Astyanax mexicanus: one gene and its partner. The protein of the gene in region 1 purifies or fractionates together with the protein of each later gene. This does not show direct contact. Links are inferred from orthologs where the notes say so. Each region holds a gene or a part of one and is shown in the gene's direction. Other genes may lie near its edges.

What was found.
Region 2: the proteins of hdac5 (region 1) and prkd1 purify together in Homo sapiens (affinity purification with western blotting; 4 studies listed by BioGRID, with this or other methods). This does not show direct contact. The link is inferred for Astyanax mexicanus from reciprocal best matches to the Homo sapiens genes HDAC5 and PRKD1.

What each region holds. Positions count from the first base shown.
Region 1 is NC_064410.1:7,240,431-7,247,123, reverse strand, and holds the start of hdac5 (histone deacetylase 5), read left to right. Parts: upstream 1-2,939; 5' UTR 2,940-4,716; coding exon 4,717-4,873; intron 4,874-6,693. UniProt on the Homo sapiens protein: Responsible for the deacetylation of lysine residues on the N-terminal part of the core histones (H2A, H2B, H3 and H4).
Region 2 is NC_064421.1:45,646,692-45,653,384, forward strand, and holds the start of prkd1 (serine/threonine-protein kinase D1), read left to right. Parts: upstream 1-3,198; 5' UTR 3,199-3,556; coding exon 3,557-3,721; intron 3,722-6,693.

The sequences.
Region 1 (6,693 bases):
GCAGTTGAACACTGATGTTTGTGGAGACCTTAAAGAGCAAGAAGAGACACAATATAAATTGTGCAGCCCTAGATAGAGCTGTGTATTGAAAAGAAGTTGGAGGTACAATAAGTACAATAAGAGCCCACCCAATAGATCAGTTGAAGATCTGTCATTTCAGTCATTTTTACAACCTCTTACAGTGCACTGTGGGATTAACCAGCAGACTTTGCCTTAAATTTTAAACCTGGTCCTAAGCCTAACCTTAACCGTGTCTTCCATTTAAAATCCAATCCTTATACTCATTGTGGTTATAAACCTAATATGCTGCTGTTTCTCGTTTCTCGTTTTGTTGTGGTCAGCAACTTTCTAAAGTGCTCTCGAAACCTGCAAATTTAATAAGATGCCATTATTGTCATTTTGTTAAGATCCTCTTACACAGTAGGATTAATCAGCAGACTTTGTCTGACAGAGGGATCTGTAACTTCTGTCTGTGGCAAGTCAGCAGATCTCTTCACTGTGCATCTATCTTTGCAACAACACTGGGCAGTATGTATTTTCTAGACTTTATCCGTAACAATCCATAACCATGTTGAGCATTATTTAACAGTGCTGATTCTCCTCGATTATTACGTCTCTCGGGCAGTTCAAAAGCGCAAATTCTGTTTCCACACTGTAGGGGGAGCCCATAATTCTCCATAAAATTGCATTAAAGGGCCAGTAACAGAATCATTCTGTTTGATTCTGAGGGAAATAGAGAGGTTTTGAGCCTAAAACCACACAGATATTCCAAGTGAATCTTAATAAAAAAAATGTAGAATATGGGCCGTTTAAATGAAAGTAAATTGAGTCAGTGGTGGCTCAAACATCGCATTTAATAAAATAGCTATTTGTCCACTGCCAAACACTGTAATTAAACTTTGTGTGCACGCTTCCATGGAGATCCACGTATAAACACAACAGCGAGTGGAAATGGAGGAGCTACTGAACGCTATGTCATGTGACCTAGAAATCCTAAAAAAAAATTACTGGTCCTCCTCTTTTTTCACTTGCAGTTCGGATGCAAGAGTTTAATCACTGAGGAGAAGTGTGAAATATTTTTCACAGACTTCCCTCTAAAATAAAAACTAATCCCGGTCATTATTTAATTTGATGTGGGAACTTGTTATGTTGTGTTAAGGCAGAGTAAGACTGGGCAACAGGGTTACATCATTTACAGTTGTGCAGAATTTAGCAGGTGAGGTAAAACATGCTTTCAGACAGTGACTGAGGGGATGGCAGAAATAGATGTTGACTAATCAGGTTTGACTAATCAAGCGGTTCTGACCTGGAGAATGACAAGCTGCCTCTATAGCCCTGTGTGTGTGTGTGTGTGTGTGTGTGTGTGTGTGTGTGTGTGTGTGTGTGTGTGTGTGTGTGTGTGTGTGTATGTGTGTGTGTGTGTGTATGTGTGTGTGTTTACCTTCCTGTCCACTGCCATTGTCTGCCTTAGTGGCACTGTCTGAGCTCCTCTTGATCACTCTGCCTCCTGTTGGCTTTAGGAAGCAATAGATTTAAACTGGCTTCATTTTATCTGCATGATAAAGAGACCTTTACCTCATTCTCTCTCTCTCTATCTCTCTCTCTGCCTCCCTCTCGCGCATCTCTCTCTTTCTCTGTCTTTCTTCTCTTCTGTGCTATCTCTCTCTCTGCCTTGTTTTCTCTCTCTTTCCCACACACATACAATTGCACATGCCTACTCTTTCTTTCACTCTCTCACTTTTCTTCTCTTTCTTTTTTCAAGTCTAACTCAGTTACACACTCCTTTCTTTCTTTCTTCTGTGCTATTTTCTCTCTCTCTCTCTGACTCTCTCTCTCTCTCTCTCTCTCTTGCAATAGATTTAGTCTGCGTTCTCCGCTCATTCTCTTCCTCTGATCTTTCTCTTTCTTGTACATCTTTCGTTCTTTCATTCTTTCTTTCTTTCTTTCTTTCTTTCATTCTTGTTCTATTCTCTCTCTCTCTCTCTCTCTTGCAATAGATGTAGTCTGCGTTCACCTCTCATTCTCTGTCTCTAATCTTTCTCTTTCTTGCGCATATCTATCTTTCTTTCTTTCTTTCTTACTTTTTTCTCTCTGTTCTGTGCTATTCTCTCTCTCTCTCAGGGAGTCTTTCTTGCACTCTGTTACAGACACATCCCTCTCTCTGATTCTCTCCTTTCTCTCTCGCTCTCTCTATCTCTCTCTGTGTCTTGCAATAGATTTAGTCTACATTCACCTCTCTTTCTCTCTCTGATCTTCCTCGCACATATATCTTTTTTTTTTTTGCACAAAATGCACAAAAAAGGAAGAATCTAATAATCTAATATGAAGTCCAGTTAAATCCATATAAATATAATATTTGTTTTTTTAAATGTCTATTGTATTGGAAGCCTGTGTAACATTTTTATTTTATTTTTGATATTGGCCTTTTTTATGTTAAATCATTCCTACACAGCATTTAACTCTAAATCACATAAAATTACTCTTATTACTCTTAAATTACTCTTATTACTTTGTCTTGTTGGCTGGTAGAGTGCTGCCACGCTCTAATGCCAGATTTGAAGTTGTTGTTTTTTTTCAGTGAAGTGGGCGGGGCTAAGCTACTTTTTCATTGGCTTGTAAATCAATTAGTATTATGTGCAACACAACATAAAAAAAGGAAATACATGATGTCCATTGTAATGCACAAAGGGTTTGGATCTGCATGATAGACAGAGCTTTACCTCTTATTCTCTCTTTCTCTCTCTCATTCTCTTGTGCATCTCTTGTGTTCTCTTCTGTTCTACCTTTCCCTCGTTTCTATCTCCTCTATCTGGACCTCTCTCTCTCTTTCTCTCCCTTTATCTCACATGCTTACTCTTTTTTGTACTGTCTCACTTTTCCTCTCTTTCTTTTTTCATGTCTAGATCTCTAGATCTCTAATACACCTCTCACTCTCTCTCTATTACTTCTATTTCTCTCTCACTCATGCACTCATTTTCTTTTCTTTTTCTTTTCTTGTTCTGTCTTTCTCTCTTTCTCTTTTTTCTCTCTCTCTTATTGTATCCTCTCTCTCTTTCAAATATCGAGCTCCCCCTGCTTTCCCTTACACACAAACACATGCAAACACAAACACACACCTCTTTCTCACTCTCTCTCTCTTTCTCTCTCTGTCTTCTCTTCCACTCTACCCCCCCCCTCTCTTTCTTCTCTTTCACCCTCCCTCCTCTCTCTCTCTCTCCCTCTCTCTCCCCAGGCTCTCAGCTCCTGCCTCTATTTTTATCCTCGCCCCGCCCCTCCCCTGTCGCTCGGCAGCTATTTCCAGCTCTGTGAAGCAGCCCAGTCTGTTTGTAAACTCCACGGCTCCACTCTGCTGCTCTCTCTTTCTCTCTCTCTCTTTCTCTCTCTCCCTCGCTCTCTATTGCTCTCTCGCTCGCTTGATCACTCCTGTGCCCCCCACATGCAGCAGAGGGAGGGTGTGGGCATCAGTTGCAACCAAACAAATCCAAACTAGCGGAGGACAGAGAGGCTGTTTGGGTTTTTTTCGTGCGACTCGACCGCGACAGAACGACCGCGACAGATCGACCGCGGTGGCTCAACGTGCTTTTATTTTTTGGGAACTACTGTAGCTTCTCAGTCTCTCTCTCATTCTCTCTATTCTTCACCTCCATTCTTCTCAATCTCTCATTTTTCTCTTTCTCTTTCTCCCAACCTTACTCACACGTCTCTGTCCCCTTCATCTCTCTCTCTACTTCTTGTCTGCACTCTTTCTCTCTCTGTTTCTCTTTCTATTGCCCTCTTAACCTCTTACTCTTTCTCTCTTTCTCTCTCTCTCTCTTTCCACACCCCGTCCGTTTCTCTCCCTCTCTCTGTTTCTACCTCTCTTGCTCTGTCTCTCTTTCTCTATTTATCCAGGTTATATATCTTGCTTTCTCTCACTCATTCACTCTCTCTGTTTTTTCTCTTTCTCTTTCAATCCTTCTTTCTCTCTCCCTCTCTCCATTTCTTGTCTGCTGCTAGTTCTATCTCACTCTCTCTCCTTTACTCTGTCTGTTTCTCTTTCCCTTTTCCCCTACCTCTTACTCTCTCTCTCTCTCTCTAATTCTCGCTCTGCACCCCCTCCGTCTCTCTCTCTCTCACCCTCTCTCTCTCTCTCTCTCTCTCTCTGTGATCTCATTTGCTGCTCTCACCGCAAGGAAAAGAAGGCATCCAGTCAAACTCCGGACTTACCGCAGACACAGCTCAGGAACCGTGCCGGATACGAGCGCGCAGTAGTGAACGGAATAATGACAGACGCTCTCGTTTGAGCCTCAGCATGAATTAACGTCTCTTTCCCGCTTCATCCCAGAGCTGAACTGGGAGCTAATGGGAATCTTCTAAGCGGAGACTGAAGGGAAGGGACTTGGCATTGACTCTGTGAGAGGGTAATCCGTGGAATCATGGGACTAACGCACAAAGTGGACCTTTCTCCACGCTGTCAGTGCGCTCCTGACCACAGCTAAGAAGCAGTGGCACAGACTGGGAATTCTGTTGGGAATACCGCTGTGATTTATTTCTTTTTTTCTCCCACATTCTGATGCTGATCGGAACGCCGGACATAGCAAGGTGGCGTTCGGCGGTTGAGCCGCGCGGCGTGTGAGCTGCGGGTGGCCGTGTTGGTGTACCGGAGTACCCGTGATTGTGTGTGAGGGTGTGTGTGTGTGTGTATATGTGTGTGTTTTGAATCTGGGACACACTGGCATGCTCTTGCGACCGACAGTTCCGGGGCTGTGCGCGATGTTGCAGACCATCTATGAGACAGAATCCTGCTTCTCCACAGACACACACAGCACAGCCAGCCGGGAGCAGCCCACCGACCTGCTGCCCCACAACCACTCCAACAACATGAGCAGCACTGGTGAGTGTGTGTGAGTGTGTGTGTGTGTGTCAATCCGCCTGTCTGACAGATTTGTAGAAGTGAGGACATTTTTGGCTTTCTTCACTAATACATCAAAACTAGTAAAACAGCACAACCGTAGCTTTAAAGTTTCTAAGGTTAAATTTTAGACTAGAGCTTAGGGTCGGGGGTAGACTTAGTACTAGGATGTTAGTTTTAGGATTAGGGATACATGCAAAATTATATTTTGAGTTAGGATTTGTTATAGGGCTGGGGTATATTTTAGAATAAGATTTTAATTGGTTATAGAATAAGTTCATGGTTAGTTTTTGGGGTTGGGGTTAGGTTTAGAGATAGATGTAGGCTTGGGGTTAGGTTTAGGGTCAGATGTTGGGTTAAATTTGGGTATAGGTTTGGGGTTAGGTATAGGTTTGGAGGTTTGGTTTAGGATTAAAAGACGGTTGGGTATAGTGTTTTTGGTTAAGAGATAGATGTAGGCTTAGGTATATGGTTTAGGGGTTTGTTTTAGGATCAGATGACTGTTGGATATAGCGTTGGGGTTTGGTTTAGAGACGGATGTAGGGTTGGGTAAAGTGTTGGGGTTAGGTTTAGAGATGGATGTAGAGCCCAATATAGATTTAAGGGGTTTGGTTTAAGATTAGATGACTGTTGGGTATAGCATTCGGGTTCAGTTTAGAGATAGAGGTAGGGTTGAGTATAGGTTTGGGGGTTTGGTTTAGAGATGGATGTAGGGTTGAGTATAGCGTTGGGGTTCAGTTTAGAGAATTAAGTTTATGGATAGACTTGAGGTTGGGGTTTAGTTTTAGGGATAGATGTAGGGTTGGGGTTTAGTGATGGATGTAAGGTTGGGTGTAAGTTAAGGTTTAATTATATATGTAGTTATAAATTTGGGTTTAAGGTTGAGATTAGATGTAAGGTTTATGGTTGGATAAAGGGTTTGGGTTTGGATTTAGGGAGTTAGAGTTAGATTTGGATTTAGGGTTAGATGTTGGGTTGGGTATAGAGTTAGGGTCAAATGATGGGGGTTTAGTTTTGCATTACTTGGCTGCAGTAAAACATAACATAACAATGTGTGTGTTCTTTGTAATCAGTGTAACATAACCAGCAACAGTGTGTGTGTGTGTGTATTTTAGACAAGGGAACAGAGAAGAAAAATAATGAGAGAGAGAGAGGGTCAAAAGAAGTTTAATAAGTGATGTTTTGAGAATTTATATCCGCTAGTGTTTGAAGTTGATGAATGTTGTGTGTTGATGGTGTGGTGGTTGTTGTTGTGCGGTGGCTGCGTGCTGGTTCTGTTGTGTCTAGTCGGACTTTGTTTGGACCAAACTAATATGGAGCATCTGTACAGACCCAGCTGACCTCCCCGACCTCTCCACTGGGCCTCAATACACATTAGTACTACAGTGCAGACAGCCTTTCAGCCTGTGCTCTTCAGTGGAGCTGCAGATCACTGGCAATTGACTGACTGGTTCTTTTAGATGGGGATGTAGACCATCAGAAATCAGCATCTGCTGTTTATGTAGCTGAATATTTGAACTCTTTCTGAGGAATATCCATAAATTGACCAGTTCTCCCTTTTGAGAACTGAGAATAAATTATTTTCTTTACTATCAAGTTTTGCTATTTTAGGTGCCTTTATGAATTAAGAAATATAAGTACATGTATATATTGGTATTATTTATTTATTTATTTTTCCTCTATGCTTTTCTCTCTCTTTCTCTCTTTCTCTCTCTCCTTTATTTTTTATTTTTTTGTTCTTTTTTGGTGGTGAAATTGGAAGAGTTGGGTGGTGGGATGTAGGAGGGGTTTAACAAGTAAAA
Region 2 (6,693 bases), on another chromosome or scaffold:
CACACATGCTGACGCAGGAGCACAGTTGGCCCACTCGAGCCTGGTCAAACTGAGTTATTTACATCTTAATATGTAAAGTTGCAATTCAAATAAAAGCCACTTGCTGTAATGGGGCACTCGGTTCAGCCTGAGGGAAAAATAGCTCAATTTATAGCAAGCTAACTCACGCTGAGATTTCCCCTCATTACTCCTCCGTCAATTAATATACGGCTGCAAAAAACACAGTTTACTACAGCCAGCTAAAACAGCCAGCTCTACAAAAATGGATTGAGTTCCAATCACAGACACGTCCAATAAATCTGCTAAATTATTTAGACCATGTACCCTTAGAATCTGGTGCAGACATACAGTGATATGAAAAAGTTTGGGCACCCCTGATAGTTTTAATGATTTTCCTTTATAAATCATTGGTTGTTCATATCAACAATTTCAGTTAAATATATCATATAGCAGACAAAGACTGTGATATATGAGAAGTGAAATGAAGTTCATATGCTTTAAAGACAGTGTGCAATAATTCTTAAAACCAAATTAGGCAGGTGCATAAATTACATCAATATTTAGTAGATCCTCCTTTTGCAAAAATAACAGCCTTTAAACACTTCCTATAGCTTCCAATGAGAGTCTGTCTTCCGGTTGGAAGCATTTTAGACCATTCATCTTTACAAAACATCTCCAGTTCAGTCAGGTTTCAGATGGCCATTCCAGAACGTTGTACTTGTTACTCTGCATGAATGCCTTGGTAGATTTTGAACAGAGGAGAAAACAGAGGATTTTGCAAAGAGGAGACAAATTGCATTTGGCCACCTTAACCCTTTCACATGATTGAATTCACCTGTGCATGTAGATCAAGGGTCAAAGAGCTATAAAGTTATTTTTAACGTCTCAAATATTACTGTGTTCGTCTGATATATGATATATTTATATTACATTTCTTAAAAAATCATTAAATACACATAAATAGGTAAAGTAATAAAAATGTAAATGAATACACATCCAATTAAACATAGTCCTCAATACCTGCAAATGTCTTAGTACAAATCATACAGAAAAAGTGATAAAATGGCTAAAAAAAATGACCTTATAAACCCTAAGCCTTACCATATGCTGCTGAGAAGAATTATGGTATTTGGGAATTTCCAAAAGTAGTATAAATTGGTATCTCTACAAAGACAGACAGACAAAGGAACAGACAGACAGACAGGTAGCGAGATAACAGAATGATAACAGAATATGATACATTATGAAATAAAGATGAGATAAAAAAAAACTCAAATTCTATGAGGTAAAACTTTTACTGATACGTTGCACTTGTGCAGGATGGTTGCGTAGTTACAGGGGTGGTAACTGGTTGTATTGCTTAGTGGTTGCTATGCTGTTACTAACTGGTTACTACAGTATCATGAGAGATGGTTGTTAAGGTATCCAAATTGGTTTCTGTGGTGTTTCTTAATGGATGCTCTGATATCTGAAGTGTTTGTTAAGTTGTTGCTAGGTGGATGCTAAGGTGCTAAAATTAGGCAGCAATAGAACAGTCAGTTGTTGATGTGGTAGAAGAAAGAAAATGGCACATTTTAGAATCTAAACAAGTCTGATCAGGCTTAAACTGTGATGGATAGAAACACTTTGATAGAGAACTTGCAGGTCATGTGGGATGTTCCTGCTATGCAGATGTCACTACCTACCAAAAAAAGGAAGGGCAACCTGTGAACCAGTGACAGGATATGGGTGCCCAAGGCCCACTGATGCACTTTGTTTAGTCTGGTTTAATTGTTATTCCTTATAAGGCCTACTTTCAGTATTTCCTTTTTCCAGTTTACAGAATAATCAAACTAGAAGTGAAACTGTAAAAAAATAAGTATACAGTGTCTTTTATTACTACCTCACAATCTGTAACAACTTATTATAGGCTTCTCTGAAAGCCATACATGTCTACATTAATAAACATATACAGGATTTACAGCAACCTTGTCCAGAAATCAGGTCAAATATACAACTTGCCAAGTGGATGCTGTCATGCAATGCATAACTAGAATTAAAATGTTAGAGTGGGACTGTGTGTTATATGATAATATATAAGTATATTTGCTACTATGAGACAATGTATTGTTTAGTAATACAGGAAAGTGTGTTTGGTAATATGGGACTGTGTGTTTTGGTAATATGGGACTGTATGTTTTGGTAATATGGGACTGTGTTTGATAATATGGGACAATGAGTTTGGTAGTATAGGACGGTGCATTTTGGTAATATAGACACTGTATTGTGTAGTAATATGGGACAGTGTTTGGTAGCATAGGACAGTTTATTTCTGGTAATATGGGACAGTGTATTGTGCAGTAATATGGAGCAGTGTGTTTGATAATATGGGACAGTGTGTTTGTTATATATAAAATACAAAATAAATAAAAACTGTGGCTACCAAATACAGTCCTATGTTACCAAATACACTGTCCCATCATGATGGTACTGTGTTTGTTAATATGGGACGTTTTGTATGGTTAAATGGCAGTGCATTTTGGTAATTTGGGACAGTGTGTTTGTTATATATTTAAAATACACTGTGGCTATGTTGCCAAAGACCATCGCATATTATCAAACACACTGTCACTGTCATGATGTATTTCAAATACATAGTCCAATATTAACTACATTAAAAAGCACAGTCCCATTTTACTAAAAACACTGTCCCGTCATTGCAGTGAACGTGTGTTATATAATATGGGACTGTGTTTGGTAGTTAATGTACCCACAGTTAATATGGGACTGTGTATGTGGTATATTAAACACTGAACAGCCATAACATTAACACCTCCAAAGTGAATAACTTATTATCTCTTTACAATGACACCTGTTAGGGCATCAGTCAAACAATTGAATTCCTACTAAAAATATTTTCCCACTTTATAAGTCTACTAACAGTTCAGTTTATTAATTAATCAAACTTAAGCTGACTTTTTATTTTACTTACTTACTTACTACTTATTTCACAGTCTGAATAACTTTACTGTGTGCGTTCTTTTGAGTCTGCATGTATAACTGTTAAAATAATAAACAGGCTTTAAATCAGTAGCGTTTAAAGCAAGCAAATCATTCCGGTAAAATAGATAGAAATGAAAAGAAGCTCTAAATACTTTAATACTGTTAATACTTTAATGGACAGACATCTGAGTAACAGTTCTAAAGCCCAGGCAGATAAATCTCAGCGTTAGGCACCTCGCTCTGATAACCGGAACAGGCAGGAGGCGGTGTCTATCAGAGCCCAACATTAAACATATCTGACGTCTATGGCTCCATCAGCATCGCTTCTCAATGACCAAAAAAGCGCTTTGCGTTTCACAGCTTCTAAATGCGGTCAGGTTTATTAGCTATAATATATTTCCCCGCGTCGTTTTACCTCTAGGACAGACACTGTGCTGTGTGTTTCTGTTTTTTTGGAGGGGGGGCGAGTCGAAGTTTGTATTTATTATTTTCCTCCGAGAAGCGGAGCGCGTTTGACCGAGACTGAGAGCAGACTGACCAGCCGCTGTCCAGCCGTGACCGCTCGGGGATTCTCATGAGTGTCCCTCCGGTGATCCGGGCGCCCAGCCCCGTCCCGGGCTCCCAGGGCGTTTCCTTCCACATCCAGATCGGGCTGAGCCGGGAGCCGGTGCTGCTGGACTCGGGGGACTTCAGTCTAGCGCAGGTCCGAGAAATGGCGTGCTCCATCGTGGACCAGAAGGTAAAAACTCACCGGGTAACGTTACTCTCCTCACACCGCATGTGCGCTGGGTTCCTCGGTGCGCTTGGGAAGTAGCTTAGCTAGTGAGCTAGCTTAGATAAAGTGTGGAGCGAATGATAAGTAAATAAGTGCGGATAGAAAATGTTAAACGAACTTTTCTATTGCGTTTTACTCGTCGTTAACTAACGTTAGCAACGTTAGAACCGCCATGGGAAAGCGGGGTCTCCGCTGAGGTGCTGAAGAGGGTTTAGTTAGACACAGCGCTGTTCTTTAGGTCAGAAAGTAAAAAAAGCCGGTATATGGGTTTACTTGTGAGTTTGAAACATTTTAAACGATAAAACTGGCTAGGTTAGTTAGCTAACTAGGTTATCTAAGTTATACGTGAACTGTATCACTGTATAACTTACAGTGAAGGCTAGGCTACTAGTTAGCTAACTAGCTAACTACTTATTTTGACCAATATGTGGTAACCAAGGTAACGCCAGGCTAACTAGTTAGCTAGTTAACTAGCGTTAGCTTGTTAGCTAGGTAACTAACTTCACTGAACTGAGGCTGTGTCCTGTGTTTTCTACTTACCGAAAGACCCAACAAACATTTTAAACATATAAACAGAGAGTTTAAGTTGATGCTGGAAGGAAGCTGGCGAGTTTAGAGCTTCTAACAAGTGGTCTTACTGTATCTGAATGCAAAACTGGCATCAACACTTCAGCCTGTAAAGTCACTGCTGACTGCTGACGACACGTTCTGACGTGCGACCACTGAAGTGCTGTTTCAGGAGAGGCTGGCCTGCAGTGTTACTGGCAAACACACACACACACACACACACACACACACACTACACTGTCCTCTCCTGTGACTCAGTAACCCAGTGTTTCCCTCTTCCATAAAATTCCATGAAACCCCAGGTCACAAGACTCTTCTAGTTAGTTAACTAGTAGTACAAATCTATTTACATTTCAAGCATGCAGAAGGTCAGGTGGGCGGAAAAGTCAAATAACAGTAGAAAAGTTAAAAAGAAGCTAGGCCTCCATCATTTCTTTCCATTCTGCTGGTAAAAAGGTAAAAGCTGTATGTCTCCCTATGTCTCTCAAGTGCACTCACCCAAGCATAAAGCCTGAATACACTCTGTACAGACTGTACAGAAAAGAAAGTACTCTGAAGGACACTGTGCTCAGCTCTGTTGGCTTCAGAATTCTCTTTTTTACTCTTTAAATTTGTCCTATCAGTGTTGCAGGTTTTGCATCAAAAAGTAACTAGGTAAGACCGTCTGGAGCTGATAGACATTTTTTTGTGGTTATGGATGCCGAGATTAGCCAGCAATTAAAATTATGCCTCCCTTTTTAACTTGTGTTAAAGTTGTTCAAAGTATTGAGTTGTTCTCTACCAATTATCTTTTTTCATCTTTCAAAGACATACCATGCACCTTATTTACTCTACGCTCATGTTGAAATGAAAAATGAGACGGGGTACTCTTCTAAACTGGAAACTCCAAGGCAGTGAGGGAACAGGCAGAATATCCTTCAGTTTAAATGGCAGCGCCTGTGTGGACAACTAACCTCACACACTTGAAATTAACCATTGCCAAATGACCAGTTCAGGGTTCATCAATCAAAGCTAGAGACCCAGGTTTAGCTAGCCTGTTGTCTCTCTGCTAACATTCATCTGGCTAGATTGGCTAGCTGGGTAATACCAAAATGGCTAGCTTAGCTAGATAGCTAGCATAGTATCGTACATACTTAAATTAAAATGGCAATCTCTACTGATTTTGTGAATCCATTCAGGGTAAAGTACAGGATGTTTTGAGGAATTATGGAAGATTTGAACTTTATAAGATTTATTTATTTTTGAAGAAGTGTACGTTATTTGGGAACGCAGCAGTGAGTTAGCATTGCTAGTACCCAGTTTTCCAATGCTACTTCCATACCCCACATCCTCGTTTTGGTAGACGATGGTGACGTAGATGAATAAAGTGTATACAAGTAATCACATTCAAGTTCTATCTAATCTCTGTGTTCTAGTTTAGTAGAGGGATTTCCATCCTCCAAGTTTATGTAAGTTGTTAACATGTGCACGAGAAAAAAAACGGAGGCAATTCTTTTATCATATGATTTAGGTTGCCATTGACTTGATCCAACAGGTTCTATAGATGTTCTGATCATGACACACAGCATTTCATTGGTAAAAAACCCACTCTATTATGACTAGTAAGTACTATACACCCAATGTTATTAGTGTGTGTAATTGGATGCAGCTTAATTTTAACATCAGAACTACATTATGATGTGTTACCATAATATAACACATATCACACAATTAATTCACAATTAATTGAAAGAAATGCAACTTAAAAGTTTTTTCAAGTTTTCGACCAACCTTTAGTGGAAATAAAAACAACGTTAAAGGACAGTTGGCTACAGTTGGCTTGAGATTTCCCAGCATTGTTGTTTATCTCCTGCTGGCAGTGTTCCATGTTTTGTGTCGTTGGAAATGTAAGCACTGTTTTATTTTGTTGTAGGCAAGGCCAAATTAAGACCCTGTGGATGTGATAGACATTAATGTTTTGGTGCACATCCTATCTCTGCAAAGTCTATTGACTTCATGCCTAATATCTGTGTGAATATGCAAAATTTTTGCTTTGTTCATTTGTGAGAAAATACTAAAACTGGACTGATAATAACTTTCCAGCAAAGGCCTTCAGGGTCAGGATCAGCTGCTTGTGCCAATAAGACGGCATCAGCTCATTATAATGCCACAATATACAGTATGTTAAATATAATGCCAAAAACATAAAAACAAAATATCCTGCTTTATAAAAAGATGCTACTATGAACCAAATTTAAGACACATATTGTGGTAATGCAAATTTAAATATCAATCAACGACAACACAAGTAAACACAAAATGCAGTTTTTAAACTAAGTTTTTATAATTAAGGGGAAAAAAATCCCTGTGTAAAAGTTTTTGCCACTAAA